Mus musculus: one gene and its partners. The protein of the gene in region 1 interacts with the protein of each later gene in a biochemical or structural test. Links are inferred from orthologs where the notes say so. Each region holds a gene or a part of one and is shown in the gene's direction. Other genes may lie near its edges.

Region 1 (3,500 bases):
GGGTTAGAATACTAGCTGCTCCTCTAGTGGACCAAGGTTGGATTCTAACATCCCATGACAGTTCCACTACAACTCCCGTCCTAGGGGATTTGACACCCTTTTCTGGCTTCCATGAGCGCTACACATACATGATCCACAAACATATATATCTACACATATTAAACATATATATCTACACATATTAAAAACAGGGAAAAAATTGGGGTTGGGGTGAAACAGGTTTTCCTGTGTAGCCTTGGCTGTCCTGGAAGTTCCTCCACATACCAGACTGGCCTCAAACTCAGAGATCTGCCTGCCTCTGCTTACCAGGTGCTGGGATCAGAGGTGTGTGCAATCACTCTTCAGTGGGTTTTAAAAAAAAAAAATTAAGGTGGCTGCCAGAAGTGCCTCTGTGGAGGCCTGGCCCAATTGTGAGACAGATGGGCTGGAGGAACTGATGAAATTAGTTTGGGGTCTTGACACCCAAACCCTCTCCATTTGCTTATCATTGTGCCCATGGCATAAGTCACTCTCAGGTCCTTCCTCACAGCTCTGCTTGGAGAGGCATGCAGTAACTCAGAGCCATTCTGTCTGCACAGAGCAGTTAGGGAGGTTTCTAGGATTCAGCCTTAATGCTGGTGTTGATGCTTTGTCTCATTCTTATTAACTTATTAGCATTTTGTGATGCTTGGGATTGAACCCAGGGCCTCACAGATGCTAGCTAGACAAGCGTTCCATCACTACACTCCCACCTTTCTTTTATTTAAAGCTCGAGGACAGTAAGGGTTTAACAAAATTGGGGGTGGGGGTGGCATCTTTCATCCCACCAGAGTTCAAGGCAGGTCAGCCAGGGCTGTATAGAGAAACCCACTTTTAAAAAACAAAAGAAAGAAAAGAAGGAACAAACATTCATTCCCTCCCCAGAGCAGCAGTAGTTGTAAGTCTCCATACGAGCCCCGATCCTCTGGAAGAACAGTTAGTGTTCCTAACCTCTAAGCCCTTTATCCAACCCCACCTCACCCCTGTTTTGTTGTTTGTTAAACAAGATATCACTAAGATGCCTAGGCTGGCCTTCCATTCATAATCTTCTTGCTTAGCCTACAGAGTAGTTGGTATAGGTGTGTAGTTGATGCTGCTGCTCAGCTCATTTGTTTGTAGTACTGGGAACTCAGCCAAAACCTGATGTATACCAGGGAAGTGTGCTGCCGCAGAGCTGCCCCCCGCCCCCCCAGACCCCTTCATTTACTAAAAAACAAGCTGCCTTTAGACTTGTACTTTTGGGGGTGTACAGGTTTGAAAATAAAGCGAAAGAAGGTTGCCTAGATCAAAGTGAGGCACCTTCTCAAGTATCAGCTATAGAATAGTACCTGAGTTTGGAGTAGATTTTTCTACTATTGTAGAGAAATGTGGTGTACTTGAAGCCTGTGTACACTGAAAAGGTCTTTGGGGCATGCATTCTAGCCTCTTTCCTCTTCCTATGAACATGAGAAGAGCATAGGCTTAGTCCCTCTGGCTCCTGACCATGGTGTCTTCTGGCTGCTTTGTCTAGGCTCAGCTCCTCAGGAAGGAAAGGCGTACTCTCCTCTTTCTGGACCCTCTGCTATTGAGTTTCTGAGTTTGTATCTTTTAAAAGAGCTCTAGTGTCAGGAAGACCGGTCAGGGCCAGCACAGGATGGGGACAGCATCTGCCTCCAAAAGTATTCCTTCCCCTCCCTGTCCTCCAGGTAAATTTGAGCCCCCACTGTTTCATCCAAACGTGTATCCTTCTGGCACAGTGTGCCTGTCCATCCTGGAGGAAGACAAGGACTGGAGGCCAGCTATCACCATCAAACAGGTATGGAGTAGCACCTGACTGCCCTCTTAGGGGTTTGTCCTGGTCACAGTAGCCAACAGTGTTTTTCACAAGCCCTCTCAATGTAAGCTGATTGGTTTGCTTTGGTTTTTGGAGACAGGGTTTCTCTGTGTAGCCCTGGCTGTCCTGGAACTCACTCTGTAGATCAGGCTGGCCTCGAACTCAGAAATCCGCCCGCCTCTGCCTCCCAAGTGCTGGGATTAAAGGCGTGCACCACCATGCCCGGCGAGCTGATTGTTTTTGTTTCTCTTACAGATCTTATTAGGAATACAAGAACTTCTAAATGAACCAAATATTCAAGACCCAGCTCAAGCAGAGGCCTACACAATTTACTGGTTAGTAGCAACTGCCAGCTGGCTAACCTTCCTTTCCTGGAAGTGCAGACTGGCTGCCTGTCAGGTTGGAGCTCTGGGATATGAGAGCTGAGAGGGAGTCCCGGGGAAGAGGCGCATACTCCCACTGGGTGGCAGCACCACAAGAGCCACCAAGGACACTGCATGTCTGACTGGTCAGGAACAGAGCCATGTGTACACGGAGCTTACTCTGAGCAAGGACAGGGCCCAGATGTGACTGTGGGCATAGAACAGGTGGTGTGGGCACTGATGGGCCATTTGGAGTGATCTGTGGTAGGTGTATAAAAGGTTGTGGCCCATTGCATAACACAGCCTCGCTGATAGAGTGCTCTTGGCTCTTTTTCTATCTACTGAAGGAGAATAACCTCCCATGATCAGTTAGGACTTGAATAACAGTTGAGCCAGTTCTGTAGGCAGCACGGAAAACACTTAAAATAGAGGTCCAACGAGTATGTGAGTGCACACACTCACGCTTCATCCTTGCTGACTGTGAGGATCCTGCTAATCTAGGCAAGGACTAAAGTTACTGTGGCTGGAATTCATTCCTAAGATTAGTGTTACTGCAGGGACCTTGACCCCACTGTTCTCCCTGTGTCTCAAGTACCAACCGCCTACTCACCCCAATGGAAATAGAGCAGAGGTCCTCTGAGCAGAGTCCCAGGCACCCCTGTCTTAGCCCATGGCTCTAGGGAGGTCTGTCAACCCACTAGAACTATGTGGGACAGGAAGGAGTGGGTGTGCACTGTATTGTCAGGGAAGGAATCAGAAGAAAATTGGGTGCATATCCAACCTTGATACTTGTGTGCTGCCTTCTCTGGTGGCCAGGGCAAGCCTGTCTAGCATCCCTGGGAATGTAGCTTACACCCATTGGTGCAATGTTGTGTACTGACTGCCTGTGCTCCAGGGTCTTTCAGGCCTGACCCTGTGTAAGATGCTGTGACAGGTCAGCTCCATCAGTGTTGTGTTGTGCTGCCTGCACCAGGCACAGGCACAAGGAGTATGCAGCTCATGAAGCGGTGTGCTTCTGCCAAGCCCTTGGAGCCCCTCATTGCGCTGGTGCTCAGCAGCACTCTGCCTTAGACCAAGCTCTGTTCACGGTTGGCCTTAAGGTGTGGTTCCCGGCTAGCTAACATGGCTCTGTTTTTCCAGCACTTAGTGCAGTCCTTGGTGCTGGGGTTTCTCTCCTGCATCATCTGGGTTTCTGTCAATAACATGTTTTGTGCCTGCTTTCACTGTGTATGTAGAAGCTCTTGCCCCTCCTTCCTGAGTGGCCTTGCTGTCATAGCCTTGTTTAGTGAATGGCAGTACTCTTGGTT
Region 2 (3,500 bases), on another chromosome or scaffold:
TGGATGGTCTTTTAATACTTAGTATCTCTAAATTGAAACTGTTGAAATGAAATTTTTTTAATTACCATATTCTTTCAGTTTGCTTGAAATTGCTGCTCTTTTCAGTGAGACACAGCCTTTGAATGGGCACCACAAATTGATTAGTTAATTATTTTGAATTTAATAGGTGAGGATCTTTTTACTAAGCCAGGTGATCACTTAATGAGCTTGTGCCTTGTCTTTGAAAGGTGGGAAGAAGAACGTTATCCAGAAGGCATCAAATGGAAATTCCTAGAGCATAAAGGGCCTGTCTTCGCTCCACCATATGAGCCTCTGCCAGAGAGTGTCAAGTTTTACTATGATGGTGAGTTATTTCAGGTTGTTTGAATTTTGGCTAAGAATGGTTTGTTTCTATTCAGGGTTAGAAAATGAGGGCACTGCCTATATTGCACAGTCCTAGCTAGTTATTTCACTTTGTTTTATTGTCTATGTGTGGCTTGGGAAAAGGAATCTCAGGTGTTTAATTCAGAAGGACCCCTTTGCTGCTTGAAAAATATGAAAAAGGGGGCTGTTAATGTCTTATCTGTAGTCTAAAAAGGTTTATCTGTTTGGCTCACAGCCTATAAAATACACATTGAAGGTTTTTATTTTGAGTGTGTAACTCAATAGGAAGCTGTTCTGTATTGAGTTCTCATTTAAATAGTAGCACTTAGTGATAATATAGTATGCCAACATGCTGCTTATCACTAGAAATTGTATTAGCAAAGGATTAGTGGCCATCATTCAGCTTATAGGTAAGAAACCTAAGCTATGTCACTCTAAGTAGTGCAACTGTGCCTTTGACAGGTGAATTTTAAAGAAACGCTCTGCCTAGGTCTCTTAATTTTATTTTTTTGAGACATTTCTAACTGTGTAGCCCTGCCTGGCCTGTAACTTGATAATATAGATCAGCTGTCCTTGAATTCAGTAGATGTACCCATCTGCTCCTGAGGCACATGCCACCTTATCTGGCCTCCTTGGGTCTCTTGGAACTTTCTAAAATGTCTGAGAGTTCCACATCTGTGTTTTTGTCCTTGGGTTGAGGGATCTGAGAGTAGCCTCTCACAATCCTTCGACTGACTGTGTATCAGGTAGTAATGTCCAACTGACTCCTTCATTCTAAGAGTTCTGTCCAGAGATGCTAGAGTTCGTTCTCAAACTCTCTATGTATTTATAATTCACCAGGTTAATAGATGAGAGGTAGGACTGGGTGTTTATGAATCAAATAAATGTATTTACTAACAGGGAGAGACACTGGACACCAAAATAGCAAAACCATTCAGAGCTATTTGGTGTATCTCTTTTTTTTTTTTTTTTTTTTTTTTTTAGATTTATTTATTTATTATATGTAAGTATACTGTAGCTGTCTTCAGACACTCCAGAAGAAGAGGGCGTCAGATTTTGTTACAGATGGTTGTGAGCCACCATGTGGTTGCTGGGATTTGAACTCTGGACCTTCAGAAGAGCAGTCGGGTGCTCTTACCCACTGAGCCATCTCACCAGCCCCTTGGTGTATCTCTTTAACCGCCAGCAATGGCTTTAGGAGCATAGATGCCTGTGGGTTTAGGATGAGACGGGTTTATTAGCATCCAATAATTGAAATCTGTATATGAAACAAGTGAATTTTGACCTGGGTCTCATCCTTAAGATATTTTATTTCTCTCTCTCCCTCCCTCTTTTTTTTTTTTTTTTTTGAGATAAGGTCTCATTTTTGTAGTCTTAGCTGGCTTTGATCTCAGAGGCCTGCTTGTCTCTGCCTGAGTGCTGGAATTAAAGATTCCCATCACTGATTACTAATAATACCCAACCTGATACCTTATTTTTACAAACACACCCCCACATACCGTCATTCTCCAAAATCTAGGGGTGAAAAAAATGAAAATGGAAAAAAATCACATGTTTTGGGAAATGGATGTTCAACTAATATTTTCGAAAGGTTCGGAAATGTTTATTGAATATGCTTGTGTTCAGACACCCAAGTCCCAGATAGATAGAGACTACTGATTTAATCTATGTAGGAAGTCAGTGGCATAAAACACTTGGTGGTGTGACTGGCAAGTTTTTAGATTAGCTAACCAGTTTGACCAGAAACTGTAAGACACCCTACACACTAGATCATTCCTGAAGATTTACGAAAATACACAAATTTAAACTTCCTAGTGAAGAGAAAAGGCCTTAAGACCTTGAAAAAGACAATTGCTGTATTCTGTAGCCTGACCTGAGCTCACTAACTTTAGACAGCTCGCTGGAAAAGCCTCACTGTGAAAGCCAAGGTGATGACGATAGAAAGTAGTTTTTTTTTTTTTTTTTTTTTATTGTGGGGTTTCAAGGAAACTAAGGCCTGTGGTCCCTACCTCTAGTTTCCTTTTCTCTGTTGGTCCTCCTAGGATTTCCTCCCTTTGGTTATAAAACTCCTCCAAATAAGTCAAGAGTGTTTGACTTACTAGTGCAAACTGATAAGTAAGTACTGGTAGGCAGGACATTGCTGCCTTGCCCTGGACTTCCCCCTGGCCGCCTCTGCACAGGACATGAGTTGGCTGAAGCACAGAATTGCAGCCGCTGTTAAGGACCTGCCATTTCAACTCTGACTCAACAGTTTCTTTTTGTTTCCGGGAGCTCAACTTTTCCCACAAAGTACTACGATGATTGCTGGGAACCTACACACCCTCCACCACTCCGGTGCTATAGCTGTTACTTAATCCTTCCACAGCCCATTTAAAACAAATCAAGTAGGTTCTTTGTGGGTGGGACAAAGCCAGTGCAGTGCAAAGGCTCCCCACCCAAAATAAGAACACTATTGGGGAATATTTAGTTTATGAAAACAAACATACCAGGGAACACATTCCTTAAAATTTCCTTATCTATTTTTATTTTTTGTTTTGAGATGCTGATTTTGTAGCTGAGACCAGTTTCAAATGCACAATCCTCCTTTCCCAGCCTTCCGAATGCTACAATTATAGGCTACTGCTACCTTGTCTTTTTGCCCCCATTTGTTTGTTTGTTTGTTTGTATTCCCCTCCATTATATTTGAATCATGTTGCTGTTTTGCTGGCAACTCTTGTTCAGACTGAGTGGGGAAAACAGGAAACACCTTACTCAAAAAATCCTTTTCCAACACAGAATCTTGAGTGTGCTGAGGAAGAGCTACACCACCTATTTGCCTTTTAGGTTATGTCTTCTAAGCTGATAATGTACCTGTAGCACAAGTTTGTTTTGTGATGTATTCCCTATGTTTCATACAGTCTGGTTGAGCAATACTACCCATTATGAGATGAGATGTCTCTCAATTATTACAATGAGTAGGCTTCTGGTTAAGTTTTAGATTTCTGTAATAAATTTTAATTCTTTTGAATTATTATTAGTACTTACATAGTTGTAAGTGTGAGATATTAATCTCATTTAGAATGCAGCAAAATGCTATTGTGGCATAAATTGTTTCTATATAATATTATAAAGTTGATTTTTTTTTTTTTGAGAAAAGA
Region 3 (3,500 bases), on another chromosome or scaffold:
TGCATGCCATTGCACAGAAGCACACTTGAGAGACAGAAGGATTAGGAACTGTTTTGTATATCTTTATAGAACCTATTGTGGTTGGAGCGGCCATATATATCATTTATTAATCAGTGTGGAGACTGGTCATGAATTAGCTGTTACTGAGCAGATTCTTCCATTTGTTGGTGTAGGGATTCTATAGCTTTAGTTACCCAGCGTGTGTACTTACTTTTAGCTCCTTTAGCTATCTGCACTGAAGGGCCCTGCTAAAGGAGTTTGGTAAGTTGAAGTCCATGTGCACATGCAACCTCTGGACTCATTTCCTTTGATTTTCTTCTGGCTCTGTTGAATTGAGCAAGTACTCTGTTACTTGTTCTCTTGTGATTGCTCGAACTCTTAGGAGTCACATTGCATGGGTTGTCCACATTAGTGTAAAGTGTGGGCAGGTATGGTTTTATTGATTTATGTCTGATGGTTTTTCCCTAATGAAATAGCATTCATTTTTTTGTGGTAGGTTATAGAGAATAATGTTATATAATATGATAAATGTGATTGCTTGTATAGACTGAATGAGTAGTGACTAGATGATTCATGCCATAGTAGCTTTGTTTACCAGCTTGTGACTTTTATACGACCACTGGAGTTGAAATGTCTGTCTCTAACTCAGCGGTGCCGCATATAGAAACATGCAGCTACTGACACTGCATACTCAATACTGCCACACGTGTATGATGACAGTGCAGAGCTGGTCACATTCTATACTCTTGTCCCACGGGATAAGGCCAGTTGTCTAACCCTCATGTTCTGTCTGTACACGGATTGCTAACCTAGAAAGACAACATGAGTAGCCCCAGGTTCTGTAGTAACCCACTGATAGTGCTGGAGAGAGCATGCTGTGAAGGGGGCTTCTGACCTCTGTCAGGAATAGCCCTGGCAGTCCTCACTTATGTTGAGTTAGTCCCTGCTAGAGAATATGGTTTCCTTAGCTGTGTATTTTCATGTATATATGCACATATTTAAGACTTCTATAGCTAGTTTTTGTTAATTCTTTGATATTTCTTTTTTTGTCCCCCTGTTTATTTCCATCCAGGTTCAAGTGTCTTTAGTAAACCTTGTTCAGTGACTGTAGCCAGTGATGCAAGCAAGAAGAAGATAGATGTTATTGATCTAACAATAGAGAGCTCTTCTGATGAAGAGGAAGACCCTCCCGCCAAAAGGAAATGCATCTTTATGTCAGAAACACAAAGCAGTCCAACCAAAGGGTTTGTCGATTTATAGTTCACTACTGTTCATTGTACTTGAAATGAATTGTTCTTGGGATGGTTTTGAAATATCTGTGTGAGAAGTAACTATAGAAAGCAATTTTCATCTGCTTTGGTACAGTTGAAATACTTCAAGAAAGCACATTATTTACAGGAGATTAAATTTTGCTGAAAAAATTCGACATGTCTGGGAAGTGGGAGTTTAAGTATTTTTGCCTTGTGTTCCATTCTTGAGCCTGTTCACAAGGGACTTGGCATCTCAGGCCATTTTGAGGAAGTTGGTAGAAGGGAATGCAGCTACAGGAGGCTTCTGAGGGCAAATCCATTCCTGGCACTTCTGTATTCTTGTTAGGTGATTTTGGTTATAATCCTTGATTTTTTTTTTTTTTTTGACCCCCTTGGTGTTGTGTTAAAATGAGGTAAGATAATGCCTGCTTCATAGGATCACTGCTAGGTGTTCATGAGATTATAGCAGAGCTTGGCCACCATGTCAGGAACCTGACAGTTTCTTAGTGAAAATCCATCTTCTCTCCTTTCCCCTTTACAAGCAAAATATGGGCAAGGAGATGGGTGCATCTTACTTACCGTGTACTTTCTATGACTAATACAGGGAAGCTTAGGACCTTTATGACAAAACAGATTGGACAGATCCTTCTCATAAGAGAGATCTTGACACCCACGAATTGTTGTGACAGCCCATGATTACATCCTTAAACCTGTATGTGCTAGTCTCTTCTCTGTCTTCAGTGTAGTTAGTATTTCTTAAGCATTCTTTTTGTACTAACATAAATTACCCATTTTAAGTATATATCACGAAGATGTTTGTTCACCACTGCAAGTCAGTTCTAGCATATATTCAACGAGAAAAAACGCACATAATCATTTGCTTTTATTGTCCTGCATCTCCTAGGTGTAGTCAACATAGCTTTTGCATTACATTTCTGAATTTACCTGTTGTGGACATTGTATATAATGAATTATATTCTGAGTATACTTCAGATTCTTTTTTATAATTCTTTATAGGTACTTTGAAATAAGTTTTAATAGCTATCGTTTAGACTTAACACTTTTGAACTGCTTTCTGAACGATGAAGGCACTTACTCTTCTAACCCAGATATGGTAGCTAATACCTGTGATATCAGTACTTCAGAGGCTGACACAGGATATCACCATGCATCTAAGACCAGCCTTAGGCTTCTGCCAAAAACAAGGACGACAACAGCAACAACAAAAGCTAAAATAAAGTACCTATATTCCAAGTGTGATTTATATATCGCAGTATGAGTATGGGCTTATATTTTTCTGTTACCTATTTAATTAGAATAAATTTTTATTTTTAGTGTCAGAAAGTAAGAAAAGTATTTTAGGGTTTTTTTTCCTACATGCTAATTATTGCTGTTTTGAGACAACTTGTTTAATACTTCTTTTTTTTTTCCATTTTTTATTAGGTATTTAGCTCATTTACATTTCCAATGCTATACCAAAAGTCCCCCATATCCACCCACCCCCACTTGTTTAATACTTCTGAAAATGAAATGATAAACAAGTGAAGATACAATTTTGAACTATTTAGTGAAGTATAGAATCAAGATAGTGGATGCTTAAATATTCTAGATTTTTACTTTATCATGTTAAATATAATTAAATGTTTCAGTTTTATAACAGGATTTCAGACTTTTTCTATTCATGATCAGTTTTTTGTGATCCCAGGAATATGAACTAAATATACAAATTGAACATTTACAGATGATAATAAATCATAAACTTTCAGAAACAGTGTTTTATTATACATACTTTACTATTTATTAAAAGTGGAAATATTGCATTCTAATGAAATAATTGTGCCTATTTTTACATAAAAAGAATTAAGTGGGTGGCTAAGAAGATTGCTCAGTGAGTAAAGTGATTTCCCTACAAGAGTGTGCAGCATCTGAATTTAGGTCCCCACCACCCATATAAAGTCTCTGCATCTGTGACCCCAGTGGTGATTCTGGAGACAGAGACAGGCAGATCCCAGAGGCTAGGAGGCCATCTAGTCTCGTGGGATCAGTGAGCTCCAGGTTCAGTGATAGAGTCTGTCTTAAAAAATAAGATAGAAAAGTGATTGAGAAACATGCCAGGGTGACCACTTCTGGCTTCCATTGACACACAAGAGAGCAAATACATACATTAAATTTGGATAAATGTTTGATATTGTTGGATATAGAACATATCAGTTTTAAAGTACCCATTCACATAAATACATAGTACAAAAT
Region 4 (3,500 bases), on another chromosome or scaffold:
GATGTATGCAAGGCCCTGAGTTTGACCACTAACAAAACTAAAACAAACAAGTGACAGATTTAAAATAGTCCTTCTTTGCTTTTTTTTTTCTTAGAAAACTGTCTGACTGTTGAGTTTCTAAACCTTGAGTTCATTTTTCATTACATTTTGTGTATTTAATAGTCTCTAGTTCCTTACTAGCCATAGATCTAACAAGTTCAGATATGAAAATAAGGGAGGAGCTATCAAAGAACTTTTCTTACAGTCCATTCACGGCAAACAGCGTCTTTATCATTCTTGAATGTATTACAGGCACAGAATTTCAGATCTATTCAAACTTGTGTTTTAATGATTCCCAGTTGACTTGTATGCAGTCTTGAGAATTTCCTCTAAAGTTTGCTTTTACATTCACTGTGTTTTCTACCCTTCATTTTAATGTATTTTGGTATTGAACTATTTCTATGCAGTAGTAAGTTGTATAAAGTATAAAATACTAGTACTTCCTTCTCTTCGTATTTTTATTGTGATAAAATTTAAATAACAAAACTAGTCACTTCAAAGTCTGCAATACAGTGCTATTTATACATTCACAATATTATACAGCTTCATTCTGTCTGATTATATAGCTCTTCATTCTGGCTCCGTTTACTTCATATGTTTTTGGGATTTATTTGCATTGTAGCATTTATCAACTTTAAGCATACTTTACTATTGAAGGAACCCCAAGGTCCCATGAGCCCTCTGGGAAGTGAACTCTACCACTGTCTCAAAGAAGATCACAAAAAACACCCTTTTATGGAATCTGCAAGAAGTAAGGAAGATAGCTTAAGGTAATTTTGAGCATATATTTTTTTGTTCTGTTTTGTTTTGTTAGTGTAGCTCAATAAACCCTACAAGGCTGAATATCAGCAATACTGTACTCCCCCAAAGGGCTGCAGATACTATGTCTATATTCTTTTCCTGTATCATCAAGCAGCATTAAGAGCTCCCAGTTTTGCTTTAGCCCATTAAATACAGTCATTACATTGTGTCTCCAAACACTAACTGGTGTGGAAGATCCACTTTATATTATAGTTGTGTGTGAGCCTGTGATGTGGATGTGCACCATGGATTCCCAGGAGGTAACGGGTCAGAAGCCCTTGAACTGGAGTTATAAATGACTGAGAGCCACCACGTAGGTACTGGACCTCAATCTGAATCCTCTGCAAGGGTTGCCAGTGCTTTCAACCGCTGAGCCACCTGTCTAGCCCTATTTTGTTTTTGTTTTGTTTTTCTCAAATTTCATACTATTTACTAGCAGGACCTATGTTGATAAACCATTGTTAGTGTATGAATTGATTGAAGCTTAGAGGATTTCTTTTGTCGTCTCATTCATGCCCCTTCTCTCATGCTTCCTTCTCATATCTTGCTTGGTTTTAGGTACATCTGTTAATAACTTGTCAAGTTGAGTTTTATTCACCTGTTCCTCTTTTCTTTAAATAGATAACAAAAATGTGACTCCAAAGGTTGAATATCTTGTTCAAGTTCTATTGAGAGAGCTTGCATTCAGTTCTGTAGTTTAGGAATTTTTTCCTTGGGATTACTTATAAAATTTAATGATAGCAAAAGTCCTCAGTGGGCTTCATTTCTACTTTCATTTTCTGTTCTGCTAAATAAGAAGAAACCACTGCATCTTACATTTGTGTTAACCCTCTGCCTCTAATAGGTGGATAATGCCTTACTATTCTGTAGCAAGAAATGTTTTCTGTTTTTTTAAATTTTTACCCTATTTTCAGTTAAAAACAAAATCTTACATATTCTTTATTTATTTAGATTTTCAGACTCTGCTTCAAAGACACCTCCTCAAGAATTTACTACTCGGGCGTCATCTCCGGTATTTGGAGCTACCTCTACTGTGAAAGCTCATTTGGGTTTGAATACAAGTTTCTCCCCCTCTCTCTTAGACATTGGGAAAAAAAACCTTCTGAAGACAGCTCCCTTTAGCAACATTGCTGTTTCTAGATCAGAGAAAGTTAGATCCAAATCTGAGGATAATGCCCTTTTCACACAACATAGTCTTGGGTCAGAAGTGAAGGTCATTAGCCAGTCATTTTCTAGTAAACAGATACTTACAAATAAAACTGTAAGTGACTCTGTAGATGAACAGTGCAGTGCTGACCACATGAATACTACTGTTGCTGATAAATATTTGGTGCCTTTGAAATCCCTGGGAGGCAAAGCATCCAAAAGGAAGAGGACTGAGGAGGAAAGTGAGCATGCAGTAAAGTGCCCCCAGGCCTGTTTTGATAAGGAAAATGCCCTTCCTTTCCCAATGGAGAATCAGTTCTCCATGAATGGAGACCATGTGATGGATAAACCTCTGGACCTGTCAGATCGGTTTGCAGCTACTCAGCGGCAAGAGAAGAACCACGGAAACGAGACTTCTAAAAACAAACTTAAGCAAGCCACTATTTACGAGGCTTTGAAGCCCATTCCAAAGGGCTCCTCCTCAGGCCGTAAAGCCTTGAGTGGGGACTGCATGCCAGCCAAAGACTCTTGGGAGACATACTGCTTACAGCCGAGGAGCCTCCAGTCCTCTAGTAAATTCTCTCCAGACCAAAAAACACCATTACAGATAAAAGAAGAAAATCCTGTCTTCAAAACACCTCCATGTTCACAGGAAAGTTTGGAGACAGAGAATCTCTTTGGTGATGTGAAGGTTTGTGTTAAATGTTCAGAGATTTTGATTAAAATTGTTTGTGATTTCATTTAGGTGCTAATAATTATTTCTGCTTAGGGTACTGGTTCTCTTGTGCCAACAAAAGTAAAGAGCAGAGCAGTCCATGGAGGATGTGAGCTTGCATCAGTTCTTCAGTTAAACCCCTGTAGAGTTGCTAAAACAAAGGCTCTGCCAAGCAACCAAGGTGTGTGCATTAAAAACAGGATCTCTCCTCTTTTTAATTGGTTTACAGTCTTTAGACAAAAAAAATTTGGGTCTGGGGGAAGCTTATTTCTTTCTGTATATATCTGTTCGCAGCATAATTCTCACTGGTTTCATCTCACTTTAAATGTTTCTGCTCTTATGCTTTGTCAAAAATCATTTTAAATTCTTTGATGCATATTTTTAGATGGTATAGATTTACTTATATAGTTATTTCTTACTTCCTTTGCAAAAGCTTTTAAAAAGTATTTTAACAATTCAGTTGGGGTTTTTGTTTGTTTGCTTGCTTGTTGTTCTTTAGTTTTTAGAGGGAGTTTAATTTGTTTTTAAAGGGAGGCAATACTAGGGATTGAACCCAGGGCCTTATCCTTGCTAGGGCCCTTGCCACTAAGCTCCATCTGTAATCCTAAAGTGTACATCATGTTTAAAAATAATTCATCATTTAGAACTTTTTCTTTACTGCTTAGATAGCCTATCCTTTTTCTTTGCATTGAAATGTTTGTCTGTAAGCTTATACAAGTTAATAGGTTTTTAACTTAAGTCTTATAATTACATGTGCATGCACACACCCCACCCCTGTGCGTGTGTATATACATGTGCC
Region 5 (3,971 bases), on another chromosome or scaffold:
GGCTTCACAGCTGAGCTATCCTAGAGTATGAATTTCTCCCAGTGAATGAAGCTTTCTAACTCAGTATTACCTTGAGATAATGAAAAGAATCTATTGCTTCTTGCGAATTGTTTTACCTTCAATTTTCCCCCAGTCATGGAACAAAAATGCTATTAAATCTCTACTCAACTCCTATCAGGCAAGGCCTAGTAAATAGGTCAGCATCCTAGGTCAGGCCATGTAGGGTGGACCAGATGCTCTTGTCTTCGTTTTGGATGTGGGATTCTGGAAATATCATGGACACAGGATGAGAAATTGCACTACTCTCCTGATGAAAGGAAATGGACCCAAGGGAGCCAGAAGGATGGCCTTTCACGCCCATCCACATTCGTGAACGCCAATTATAGGCGCTTGGCCCAGGTCTAGAAGAACCTCAGAGAAGGGGTGGTCCCAACAAACCGGGACGCCGTGGCGGCGAACCAAGAATACACCTCCGCAACAGCAGCGGTCCCAGAACCCCCAGTTCCCACGGCCACGCAAGGCCCCACAGTCACAGCCGCACCCCCAAGCGGCGCGCCTGCCCCGGGGCAGGGCGGGGCCCGCCGCGCCTGCGCACTCCCTCTGGGCTCGGCGTCCCCCGCACGCAGCCCACGTGATCTGTGCCTTGCCTAAGATGGAGGTTGCCGCCAGGCCCGGCCGGGCCCTCGCCTTAGTCTGTGCTCTTCCGCGCCCCCTTAGAGCATGAGACAGGCGCTCAGGCACACTGTATTGACCCGGGCAGCGCCGCGGGCTGCCAAGGAGGTCTGTCCACGGCTTCAATCAGTTCGCGCACCAGCTCCCTGCTCTTTCTAAAACAGCAAAAGCTCTCAGAGCGGGCGCCTGGAGAGTCTTCGGTACGCCCCGCTCATTAGAATTGACAATGCTGGGAGCCAATGGGGTTTGGAACTTTTGAGAAGGGCGGACGAAGGCGGAGCCCCTTCGCAGCGCCCGCGAAGCGGGGCTGGCTGTTGGGCTATTGTGGGGCGGACTTAGGACTCTCGGACCAATGGAAGGGCGGCTGAATTCTTGGAGGCGGGGCCGAGCCGTAATTGACGCTTTCTTCATTAGAAACCAGGCAGGGGGCGGCGCCCACGGGGGGAGGTGACGCAAAGCCGTTGTAGCCAATGGCTGGTGGGCCGCCGACGGGAGGGGCGGGGCTGGGGCGCCTGACGGGCGTAGGGCGCGGCCTATCCCCGCGCGGCTCTGCGCTCGAGGGGGAGCAGCATCATGGTTCAACGTGGGTCAATTTTTTGTGAATGAGGAGGGGAGGTTGTGGGGCCGCTGCCGCGGAGCACCATCCCCGCCGCCGCCCGAGCCCGAGCCCGCGCGCCTGCTCGCGCCGCCGCCGCCGCGCCGCCTCACGCCCGGCCCGCTCAACGCGGCTGCTGTCGCCGTCGCCGCCCGAGCCCGCCCGCCCGCCGGCGGCGGCGCAGGCTGAGGAGATGCGGCTCGGAGCGCCGGAGCAGGGCTAGACGCGGCCCGCCGCCGCCGCGGTAAGCCACCGGCCGTCATTGTCCGCGCCGCCCGGTTGCTGGCGGCAGGTGGACGCCCGGCCCCGCCGAGGCCTCGGGGCCCTGCGCCGCGGGCTGGCGGGCGGGAGAGCGGCCTGCGCCGGCGGGCGGGCAGGTGGGCGCGCGGGGGCGGGGGCCGGGGCGTTTATGTAACTTTGTCAGCCTGTGAGTTTGCAGAAAACGCCCCTCGGCGGCGGCGGGCGGCGGGGCGGGGGCCGCGGCCGGGCCCGGACCGTCGCTGGGCTGGCGAGGAGCTGCGCTAGCCCCGGAGACGACCGGTGTCCACCCTGAGCGAGGGTTCCGAAGGCACAGCTTGTAGCTCACACAGCGGGAGTCGGTCGGAAAGGCCGGGTGTGGAACCCGTGTTCTCCTTTAATGCACACCGAGAATTTGTTAATAACTTGCAGCCGCTGATAGCAGTGTTTTGGTTATTGCATGCTGTAAATTGACCTGCTGTGACACGATTTTCAAATAAAGCGTCGCAGAAATTAAACTTAAGTTATTTTAGAACTAATGACTTTCTTAACTAAATCCTAATTGCATTACTGTAGAGACCTACCTAATTGCTTTCCGAGAGCCACTCTGCCTGCCCGGGGAGGAAGGAAAGGCCTGTGTAGTCACTTTGCCTCCCTGCTTTTCTCTGCTCAGGCTTTTCTGTCTGTTCCCACAAACCACCTAAGCATTTAAGGCCTGCGAGTATTAACGTGTAAACAGCCATGGCCCTGTCGCACTTTGGGGCTAGGGGGATGCTGGCGGCTTGCACCTTGACCTGGTTTCGGTTTTTCCTCCGTGATATGATCGAGGTTGCCAGGAGTTTTAATTGCTTCTGATAATTCCGTGCATTATTTCAGGACCGGCTTGATGAAAGCTAGTGTAGTGGTTTCAAAATCCACCCAGAAAGAAGGTGATGGTGGTGGTGGTGGTGTAGGTAGGTGTAGTGCTTGTGGAGAGGCAAGGAGGTTGAATTAAGAAAACTCAGCTGCTTGTACACAAATATACACTATAGCAGTTACAAGGCAGCAAAAGTTATTGCAGAATTTTGCAGTCACTATGGCAACACAATTACTCCATTATAATTGGAAATGCAAAATGCCACCCAGTTAGAAGTTTCATCAGGATGGAGTTTTGGATATCAAAAAATATGTGAGATTTAGTTAAAAATTCTCATTTTTTTCCCCCAGGTAGCTTTGCAGCTCTAGTCTAGGTTCAATTGTCTATTTTTAAGACCCATCCGCTTTCCCAGATCTGCCACTCCTCGGGATCTGTGGCATCTTTCCCCAGAAGAACTCCCCGTTTGTGTGGGAGGGAAGTATTTTCATGCTTTAAAAACACACACCCGACACACTGTAAGACTTCTATGGTTTTCTGTGTTCTGGCTTTTCTTTTAAAGATCAAATGCCTTCCTGAAGAGCAGTAATCACCCAGAAGAGGCTGGGTTTGCTAGAAGGCAGAGGTAACACTGCCCCCTTTAGGGGTCTGCAGGCTGCTTACAGGGTATCTGGGAGCCCTGTGGGGGAGAAGAATGACTGTGAACTGCAGACGGGGCCTGGATAGCCTAGAGACCAAGGACAGATGTGACCTAAGCAGCCCTAGCAAGAATGTCTGTGGTTAGCAACATCAGAGAGCTGTGCAACATATAAAGCCCCCAGATGGCACCTTCTCAGAAGCTAGGGGCTGCTGCTGGTGAGGTGGGCAAGAGAACATAGCACTCTATCTTCCTGGGGCTCCTGGCTCCTAGCTTGACTTTGCTTTCAAACCTGTGTTAGGAGGATGTCCCTCTTGATGTTTACCAGAAGAGCTCTGGTGCTGGAAGTTTCCACACGTCGTGGGGCTGCTGCAGCTTAATTTCGTTAGAACTCTTTCCTTTTAACTACTGCATATTTTTGCCCAGTAATCGACTTCCATTTTCCAGCCTCATTGTGAGGTTTCAATGCAGCATGAACGGCTTTGAATTCCAATCCTTTGATGTTGGGGGTGGCACCAAAGGAAAGGCGACTTTGTGCCGTCCTAATTGCCAGAGCAGAAGAAAATTTCATCACTCCTGTCAAGCCTTGTCCATGCCATTTTCTATTGAAAACGGCTGGTTTTTCAGAACTCTGAAGCTGCCATAAGTAATACATTAATACCTGATGTAGGGAGCCAGGGAGATGCAGAAATGAGAGACACCTGCTGCACGGGAAGATTGGGGTGGCGTGGGGGGGCTCAGTCCCAGGACCAGGGCTTTTGATGTCTCTGGGCCCTGGGGTGACTATGCAGGCTTCAGAGGGTGAATCCAGAGTTGAGCTCATGTCCCATTGGTTGTAACCCAGTCTTGGGGTAGGGGCCCCAAAGAGATTTTTGGAGTGGCTTTGTCTTGGTCTCCAGTGACCATCCAGTGTCCTGCTGCTCAGCCAACTCTGGGCCTTAAGTGTGACACTGACCTTTGAGGTGCAGGTGACGGAG
Region 6 (3,930 bases), on another chromosome or scaffold:
CCAAGTCCGATCTGGAAAATCACCCGCTGCAGGCGGGTTCCTTGTAAGCGCAGTTTCCAGGCTGCACGTATTCAGACCCCCATCTCCCCAGCACCGACTTGCTTTCTCCTCCCCCCCCCCCCCCGAGCTCACCTCACTTTGTAATTCTGAGCTCCCCCCCTGCCCCGACTCGCCCTCTGGTCTCAGCTCAAAACTAAACATACGACCCCTTCAGGCATACTTGTAGGGTGGTTTTGCACAATGTTTATCCGTCAGTGTCAACGGGGACTGTCGCCTTGATAGCTCTAAGTGGCTAAGGGTCGGGGAGTAGGTGCTGCCGTCCTTTAAAACACGAATTTATGAATGAACCCAGTACTGTAGTTAAATCAGGTTATTGTACACTTATTTACAATCCTTCACTTGCTGCTTCCAACCTCAGTCCTAAAGTTTCTCCAGGCAAGGAGCTGGAGAGAGGGGCTGAGAAGCTGACCCCCCCTTTTTCTTCTCTGCACTGATTTGGGATGGGGGGCTGATGTGGGCAAGCTTTCCTTTAGGAACAGAGGCTTCGAGCCTTTAAGGCTGCGTACTTGCTTCTCCTAATACCAGAGACTCAAAAAAAAAAAAAAAGTTCCAGATTGCTGGACAATGACCCGGGTCTCATCCCTTGACCCTGGGAACCGGGTCCACATTGAATCAGGTGCGAATGTTCGCTCGCCTTCTCTGCCTTTCCCGCCTCCCCTCCCCCGGCCGCGGCCCCGGTTCCCCCCCTGCGCTGCACCCTCAGAGTTGGCTGCAGCCGGCGAGCTGTTCCCGTCAATCCCTCCCTCCTTTACACAGGATGTCCATATTAGGACATCTGCGTCAGCAGGTTTCCACGGCCGGTCCCTGTTGTTCTGGGGGGGGGACCATCTCCGAAATCCTACACGCGGAAGGTCTAGGAGACCCCCTAAGATCCCAAATGTGAACACTCATAGGTGAAAGATGTATGCCAAGACGGGGGTTGAAAGCCTGGGGCGTAGAGTTGACGACAGAGCGCCCGCAGAGGGCCTTGGGGCGCGCTTCCCCCCCCTTCCAGTTCCGCCCAGTGACGTAGGAAGTCCATCCATTCACAGCGCTTCTATAAAGGCGCCAGCTGAGGCGCCTACTACTCCAACCGCGACTGCAGCGAGCAACTGAGAAGACTGGATAGAGCCGGCGGTTCCGCGAACGAGCAGTGACCGCGCTCCCACCCAGCTCTGCTCTGCAGCTCCCACCAGTGTCTACCCCTGGACCCCTTGCCGGGCTTTCCCCAAACTTCGACCATGATGTTCTCGGGTTTCAACGCCGACTACGAGGCGTCATCCTCCCGCTGCAGTAGCGCCTCCCCGGCCGGGGACAGCCTTTCCTACTACCATTCCCCAGCCGACTCCTTCTCCAGCATGGGCTCTCCTGTCAACACACAGGTGAGTTTGGCTTTGTGTAGCCGCCAGGTCCGCGCTGAGGGTCGCCGTGGAGGAGACACTGGGGTGTGACTCGCAGGGGCGGGGGGGTCTTCCTTTTTCGCTCTGGAGGGAGACTGGCGCGGTCAGAGCAGCCTTAGCCTGGGAACCCAGGACTTGTCTGAGCGCGTGCACACTTGTCATAGTAAGACTTAGTGACCCCTTCCCGCGCGGCAGGTTTATTCTGAGTGGCCTGCCTGCATTCTTCTCTCGGCCGACTTGTTTCTGAGATCAGCCGGGGCCAACAAGTCTCGAGCAAAGAGTCGCTAACTAGAGTTTGGGAGGCGGCAAACCGCGGCAATCCCCCCTCCCGGGGCAGCCTGGAGCAGGGAGGAGGGAGGAGGGAGGAGGGTGCTGCGGGCGGGTGTGTAAGGCAGTTTCATTGATAAAAAGCGAGTTCATTCTGGAGACTCCGGAGCAGCGCCTGCGTCAGCGCAGACGTCAGGGATATTTATAACAAACCCCCTTTCGAGCGAGTGATGCCGAAGGGATAACGGGAACGCAGCAGTAGGATGGAGGAGAAAGGCTGCGCTGCGGAATTCAAGGGAGGATATTGGGAGAGCTTTTATCTCCGATGAGGTGCATACAGGAAGACATAAGCAGTCTCTGACCGGAATGCTTCTCTCTCCCTGCTTCATGCGACACTAGGGCCACTTGCTCCACCTGTGTCTGGAACCTCCTCGCTCACCTCCGCTTTCCTCTTTTTGTTTTGTTTCAGGACTTTTGCGCAGATCTGTCCGTCTCTAGTGCCAACTTTATCCCCACGGTGACAGCCATCTCCACCAGCCCAGACCTGCAGTGGCTGGTGCAGCCCACTCTGGTCTCCTCCGTGGCCCCATCGCAGACCAGAGCGCCCCATCCTTACGGACTCCCCACCCAGTCTGCTGGGGCTTACGCCAGAGCGGGAATGGTGAAGACCGTGTCAGGAGGCAGAGCGCAGAGCATCGGCAGAAGGGGCAAAGTAGAGCAGGTGAGCAGCGATTCTGGACCTTTGTGGGCTGGGGGGGGGGGGGGGGGCGGAGACTGACGCACAGACCACACAACAGAGAAGGGACGCTACTGACTGCACTTCCTGACCAGGAGCTGTGGCTGCTAGCCCTTTCCCTCCCTTGTCAGATTTTGACAGTTGGACCCAAGACAAACTCTAGACAGTTTCCCTGACAGCTTCCTACTTCATTCTCTAGCCGGGGAGCTTCTTTGTTCCCCTGCTAAAGATCTCACTTTAAATGCAAATCACACTCTGCCTGCCAACTGCAGGTTAGAAAAACTGCTTCACCGAGAGGTGCGGGTGCTGTAGGAGCCAGTTTCACTGGGGTGACTGAATGGAGGTGACACTAGACAACCTTAACTGAATGTTGGTCCTTTTCTTCTATAGCTATCTCCTGAAGAGGAAGAGAAACGGAGAATCCGAAGGGAACGGAATAAGATGGCTGCAGCCAAGTGCCGGAATCGGAGGAGGGAGCTGACAGATACACTCCAAGCGGTAGGTTGAACCAGCTGCTGCTCCTGAAACTTTATTAAAGTTGGAGCTTGGGACTATGGGCGCAGGGTCCTTGAGCATGCCCGTGTCTTATGCTTTCTTATATCTCTCCCTATGCAGGAGACAGATCAACTTGAAGATGAGAAGTCTGCGTTGCAGACTGAGATTGCCAATCTGCTGAAAGAGAAGGAAAAACTGGAGTTTATTTTGGCAGCCCACCGACCTGCCTGCAAGATCCCCGATGACCTTGGCTTCCCAGAGGAGATGTCTGTGGCCTCCCTGGATTTGACTGGAGGTCTGCCTGAGGCTTCCACCCCAGAGTCTGAGGAGGCCTTCACCCTGCCCCTTCTCAACGACCCTGAGCCCAAGCCATCCTTGGAGCCAGTCAAGAGCATCAGCAACGTGGAGCTGAAGGCAGAACCCTTTGATGACTTCTTGTTTCCGGCATCATCTAGGCCCAGTGGCTCAGAGACCTCCCGCTCTGTGCCAGATGTGGACCTGTCCGGTTCCTTCTATGCAGCAGACTGGGAGCCTCTGCACAGCAATTCCTTGGGGATGGGGCCCATGGTCACAGAGCTGGAGCCCCTGTGTACTCCCGTGGTCACCTGTACTCCGGGCTGCACTACTTACACGTCTTCCTTTGTCTTCACCTACCCTGAAGCTGACTCCTTCCCAAGCTGTGCCGCTGCCCACCGAAAGGGCAGCAGCAGCAACGAGCCCTCCTCCGACTCCCTGAGCTCACCCACGCTGCTGGCCCTGTGAGCAGTCAGAGAAGGCAAGGCAGCCGGCATCCAGACGTGCCACTGCCCGAGCTGGTGCATTACAGAGAGGAGAAACACGTCTTCCCTCGAAGGTTCCCGTCGACCTAGGGAGGACCTTACCTGTTCGTGAAACACACCAGGCTGTGGGCCTCAAGGACTTGCAAGCATCCACATCTGGCCTCCAGTCCTCACCTCTTCCAGAGATGTAGCAAAAACAAAACAAAACAAAACA
Region 7 (3,500 bases), on another chromosome or scaffold:
ATGTGAACAAAAGGGCCTTTTCCTAAAGTGGGAGCACACAGCTTACAGAGAGGGATTTGCAGTTGGTGGACACAGCGGTCACAGCGTGGGTCGTGTGACCTCCCTTCATTTGCTTCTGTTAAGAGACAGTCAGAAACCTAGAGTGGTTAGAATAGATGGCCCTATTCTAGAAAGTGAGTCCTGAGGACAGTCTATAGGTGACCAGGACCCATGGACGCTGACAGAATATATCTTGTACAGTTTTGACCTGGGATGGCGAGCCTTCAGCCATCAGTCAGGACGCCATCAAAGACAGCAGACTAGCCCGGACCCAGACCGTGGTTGACGACTGGGATGAAGAGTTTGATCGAGGGAAGGTACGGTGCGAGGCTGTGACTGGGCTGGGGCAGCGGTCAGCCATGGCTCAGCCTGAGCTTGGAGAGCAGCTTGCGTGCAGCTCTGCACAAAGCAGTTGAGACCCCAGTTGTGCCCCCAGTACACTGGGCAGGCAAATAGGGATGGGACCTCCATCAGAGGGCGCCATACATGGCGTGCTTACTGTATCTATGTCCAGGAGGCTCCAAGGCTTGGAAATGTCCTCTCTGGGAACTGTGACACTGTGATTCTTGATTTAGGAAAAGAAAATTAAAAAGTTCAAGAGAGAAAAGAAGAGAAACTTCAATGCCTTCCAGAAGCTTCAGAGTAGGCGCAACTTTTGGTCTGTGACGCATCCTGCTAAGGTGGCCAGCCTCAGCTATCGCCGCTGAGCTTGCTGTGGCCATTAGAGGTCAGCTTGGTTGTGTGTCTTATCTGCTTGTGTAGAGGTGGTCTGTGGTATGTGTGTGTTGTTGTGTACCTCTGTATTGTATGTCTGTCTCTGTGTTAGCTCATATGTGTATATCTGGCGTGCATGTAGCATGTGTAAGTCTCTAGTGTATGTATCTGGTATATGTGTGGTCTGTGGAGTTTGTCTTGTGTGTATGTGTTGTATAACTATTTATGGTAGTGTGTCTGGTATGTATGCAGCATGTGTGGCTTGTGATATGGATAGTGTGTGACCATTTGGTATATGTGGCCTGTCTGTGTGTGGTGTGTGTGGTGCACGAGTTTTTGTGTGTGTCCTGTGTCTGTAGTGTGTTCTAGTTATTTGTAGGTGTGACTGTGTCTGTTGAAGGACCCGGGGATGTAATAAGATTGTCACATCTCTGTTCTCACCAGGAAGAGCAGTGTGCCTGTGCCACAGCATCCAGAGCTGTCACATCACATCCTTGGAGCTGTCTGCTTGGATCTGAGGATCGCATCGTGCATGGTCATGGTGGAGGCTCCTGGTCCCACTGTTCACAGATGATCCGGTGCAAGTGCTCAGCTCAGGGCCTCTGGTGGTTTCACGTTGAACCTCACAAGAGAAAACCTGGCCTGTGGTGTCATGCTGACAGTAACCTTGGAGACCTCTGGAAAGGTTGAGCATCTTCCTCATAGACCTGTGGTCCAGTAGGAACACCGTTCCTGGCCTGGGGCTGTCAGATAAGGAACAGAGGCCAGGGTGGCATTTGGTGGTGCCTTTTCTGGTGAGCTGTCCTTTGCTCTCTGAAGCTGGAGCTGTCTCGTGGCTCTCCTCTCAGAGGGGCCTCTGTATGACTGACTATCAGCTGCAACAAGAACAAGCCCTGCTGACTGCACTGCCCCCATCCCCACCCCCAAAGTGCATCTCCTTGAAAGACCACCACTTCTTCCAGAAAGCTGCAGCTGCTGGGCAGGGAGAGCCTCTGCTTCCGTGGCTGCCAGCCCTGCGGGGAGACTGGCAAGCTCCCGCATCTGCCACAACCTGTGGATCTCTGTCAAGGTGGTGGTCTTTAGAGACGAATTCTCCGTTATTTTACTACTTACGATAAAGCCTTTATTTTTGACCAGGCCTGTGGCTACCAGTAGCAATATGTTTCTCTAATATGCAGACACTGGCTTTGTTTGCTCAATTTTGTGAGTGCTTTGACATTGACATGATCTCCTTCCCTGTCTTGCTCAAGCTGCCCCTATGGACTTAGGGTTAACAAACAAGACTCCTCACCCAGGAGACAGAAGGTGCCAGAAGGTTCCTCCTCATGGGGTGCATCTCTTCGTTCCCCAAGCCCCAGCCTGCTCTGGGCTGGGCTCCTAGTCTGGGCCTCTTGGGAGCGCTGGAGCTGCCTCTCATTTCCATGTGTAGCGTTCTGTTCAGCTGCAGGCTCAGGGTCTTACTTGCTGCAGATGTGGGAAGAAAGGGTTGTGTTCTCCGTGGGCCGGAGTTGAGGTCCTGTTTCTGTGTGGGTGTTTCCTTCCTGTCTGTTTCTTTCCCTTTAGAGAAAAGGCGAGAACAGTGCCCCTCGATGGGTCTGCTGGTGAGTGAGTCTTCCAGCTGTATGCGATGGTCCTTGTGTGGCTGCTGTCTGGATATTGTGTCTGGGAGTGCTGTGGGCTCCGTGTTCTCTCAGAGGGGGGCAGGGACCGTCCTTCTGAGGTACTGCCATCCTTCCTGTAGCAGCTGCTTCCTGGGTACATTGGTTTTCTTTACAGCCTTCTCTAGTAGAAAGGTGTAAAGCTGCCAGCACAGAACTGATCTGTCTTCCGTGTCTCCTCAGATTGGTTCCTTCCTTTGTGCTCTAGATTACGCAGTGTAAAGTCTCCTCCAGGGGCACGTAGTCCACTGCCTCTTAGGCAGTCATGATCCCCCATCTACTGTCCTGACTTCTGGCAGCGTGTGTTGCTGTCAGTGATGGCAAGTCCTTTTCTTCCTTAGAAGCCATTAGGAACAGGTCATGGGTGGAATGAGTTCTTGGTGGCGTACTGACATAAATAATTGAAGCTTTCCTAAAAGTAGTCATTTTGTTGGGTCAAATCAAATCAGTTTGAACTTTGTGCTTGGCAGTAGACATGTTTTAGGCCCATTTGCAGAGGGCCACCTCCCTGGTGTTTCTGTTCTTGCTCACCTGCCTGTTAGGGGCTGTTTCCATCCAACATCCTGTGTGGCTGCGTCTGTATGTGTGCAGGAATCCCCGTACTCTTCCACTTCCTCTTCAGGGGTCCCCAGATATTGCCAAGATCTTGGTGCAATAAAGTAATGCATTTTTTTTTTGTGATACCTTTCTGTGTCTGCCTTGTCTCTTCGTTTTTAAGAAGGCGCGTGGCCAGGCCGCAGCCCCAGGTCAGGCGGATGCTTCCATGCTGCTCTTGGGTGACCGTCCACAGCTGAGACGGGAGCGCCACCGCTCGAGCCCAGGCAGGAAGGGCCATCTTGGACAAAGAGATCTATTTAAGTTTATCCCAAAGCTGTATTTGTGTAGATTTAAGAGTGAAGACACTCACTGGTTCGGTAAACCTTGGGAGTGGTTGTAAGTGAATAGTGGAGAGCACAAACAAAGCAGCGTCCACCAGGGCTCTGTTGTGCATTGGAAGTGACGTCATTCCAACACTGCTCTCTTGTGAGATTATGTGGCAGTAGGGCGGGATGAGGATTTGGATCTGAGTGCGACCCTATGGCACCGGCG

Evidence for each region.
Region 2: the proteins of Ube2i (region 1) and Top1 form a complex in vitro, tested with the Homo sapiens proteins (2 studies listed by BioGRID, with this or other methods). The link is inferred for Mus musculus from reciprocal best matches to the Homo sapiens genes UBE2I and TOP1.
Region 3: the proteins of Ube2i (region 1) and Pias2 form a complex in vitro, tested with the Homo sapiens proteins (3 studies listed by BioGRID). The link is inferred for Mus musculus from reciprocal best matches to the Homo sapiens genes UBE2I and PIAS2.
Region 4: the proteins of Ube2i (region 1) and Rbbp8 form a complex in vitro, tested with the Homo sapiens proteins (2 studies listed by BioGRID, with this or other methods). The link is inferred for Mus musculus from reciprocal best matches to the Homo sapiens genes UBE2I and RBBP8.
Region 5: of the proteins of Ube2i (region 1) and Hdac4, one has a biochemical effect on the other in vitro, tested with the Homo sapiens proteins (3 studies listed by BioGRID). The link is inferred for Mus musculus from reciprocal best matches to the Homo sapiens genes UBE2I and HDAC4.
Region 6: of the proteins of Ube2i (region 1) and Fos, one has a biochemical effect on the other in vitro, tested with the Homo sapiens proteins (3 studies listed by BioGRID). The link is inferred for Mus musculus from reciprocal best matches to the Homo sapiens genes UBE2I and FOS.
Region 7: the proteins of Ube2i (region 1) and Usp36 form a complex in vitro, tested with the Homo sapiens proteins (2 studies listed by BioGRID). The link is inferred for Mus musculus from reciprocal best matches to the Homo sapiens genes UBE2I and USP36.

The regions. Positions count from the first base shown.
Region 1 is NC_000083.6:25,263,432-25,266,931, reverse strand, and holds part of Ube2i (SUMO-conjugating enzyme UBC9), read left to right. Parts: intron 1-1,703; coding exon 1,704-1,813; intron 1,814-2,086; coding exon 2,087-2,166; intron 2,167-3,500. UniProt on the Homo sapiens protein: Accepts the ubiquitin-like proteins SUMO1, SUMO2, SUMO3, SUMO4 and SUMO1P1/SUMO5 from the UBLE1A-UBLE1B E1 complex and catalyzes their covalent attachment to other proteins with the help of an E3 ligase such as RANBP2, CBX4 and ZNF451.
Region 2 is NC_000068.7:160,697,897-160,701,396, forward strand, and holds part of Top1 (DNA topoisomerase 1), read left to right. Parts: intron 1-227; coding exon 228-343; intron 344-3,500. UniProt on the Homo sapiens protein: Releases the supercoiling and torsional tension of DNA introduced during the DNA replication and transcription by transiently cleaving and rejoining one strand of the DNA duplex.
Region 3 is NC_000084.6:77,134,708-77,138,207, forward strand, and holds part of Pias2 (E3 SUMO-protein ligase PIAS2), read left to right. Parts: intron 1-1,072; coding exon 1,073-1,244; intron 1,245-3,500. UniProt on the Homo sapiens protein: Functions as an E3-type small ubiquitin-like modifier (SUMO) ligase, stabilizing the interaction between UBE2I and the substrate, and as a SUMO-tethering factor.
Region 4 is NC_000084.6:11,719,849-11,723,348, forward strand, and holds part of Rbbp8 (DNA endonuclease RBBP8), read left to right. Parts: intron 1-661; exon of another isoform or gene 662-696; coding exon 697-809; intron 810-1,791; coding exon 1,792-2,677; intron 2,678-2,755; coding exon 2,756-2,882; intron 2,883-3,500. UniProt on the Homo sapiens protein: Endonuclease that cooperates with the MRE11-RAD50-NBN (MRN) complex in DNA-end resection, the first step of double-strand break (DSB) repair through the homologous recombination (HR) pathway.
Region 5 is NC_000067.6:92,177,542-92,181,512, reverse strand, and holds the start of Hdac4 (histone deacetylase 4), read left to right. Parts: upstream 1-1,171; 5' UTR 1,172-1,255; exon of another isoform or gene 1,256-1,511; intron 1,512-3,971. UniProt on the Homo sapiens protein: Responsible for the deacetylation of lysine residues on the N-terminal part of the core histones (H2A, H2B, H3 and H4).
Region 6 is NC_000078.6:85,472,760-85,476,689, forward strand, and holds the start of Fos (proto-oncogene c-Fos), read left to right. Parts: upstream 1-1,130; 5' UTR 1,131-1,280; coding exon 1,281-1,421; intron 1,422-2,175; coding exon 2,176-2,427; intron 2,428-2,832; coding exon 2,833-2,940; intron 2,941-3,057; coding exon 3,058-3,699; 3' UTR 3,700-3,930. UniProt on the Homo sapiens protein: Nuclear phosphoprotein which forms a tight but non-covalently linked complex with the JUN/AP-1 transcription factor. In the heterodimer, FOS and JUN/AP-1 basic regions each seems to interact with symmetrical DNA half sites.
Region 7 is NC_000077.6:118,259,245-118,262,744, reverse strand, and holds the end of Usp36 (ubiquitin carboxyl-terminal hydrolase 36), read left to right. Parts: intron 1-240; coding exon 241-356; intron 357-614; coding exon 615-746; 3' UTR 747-766; intron 767-1,197; 3' UTR 1,198-3,092; downstream 3,093-3,500. UniProt on the Homo sapiens protein: Deubiquitinase essential for the regulation of nucleolar structure and function. Required for cell and organism viability.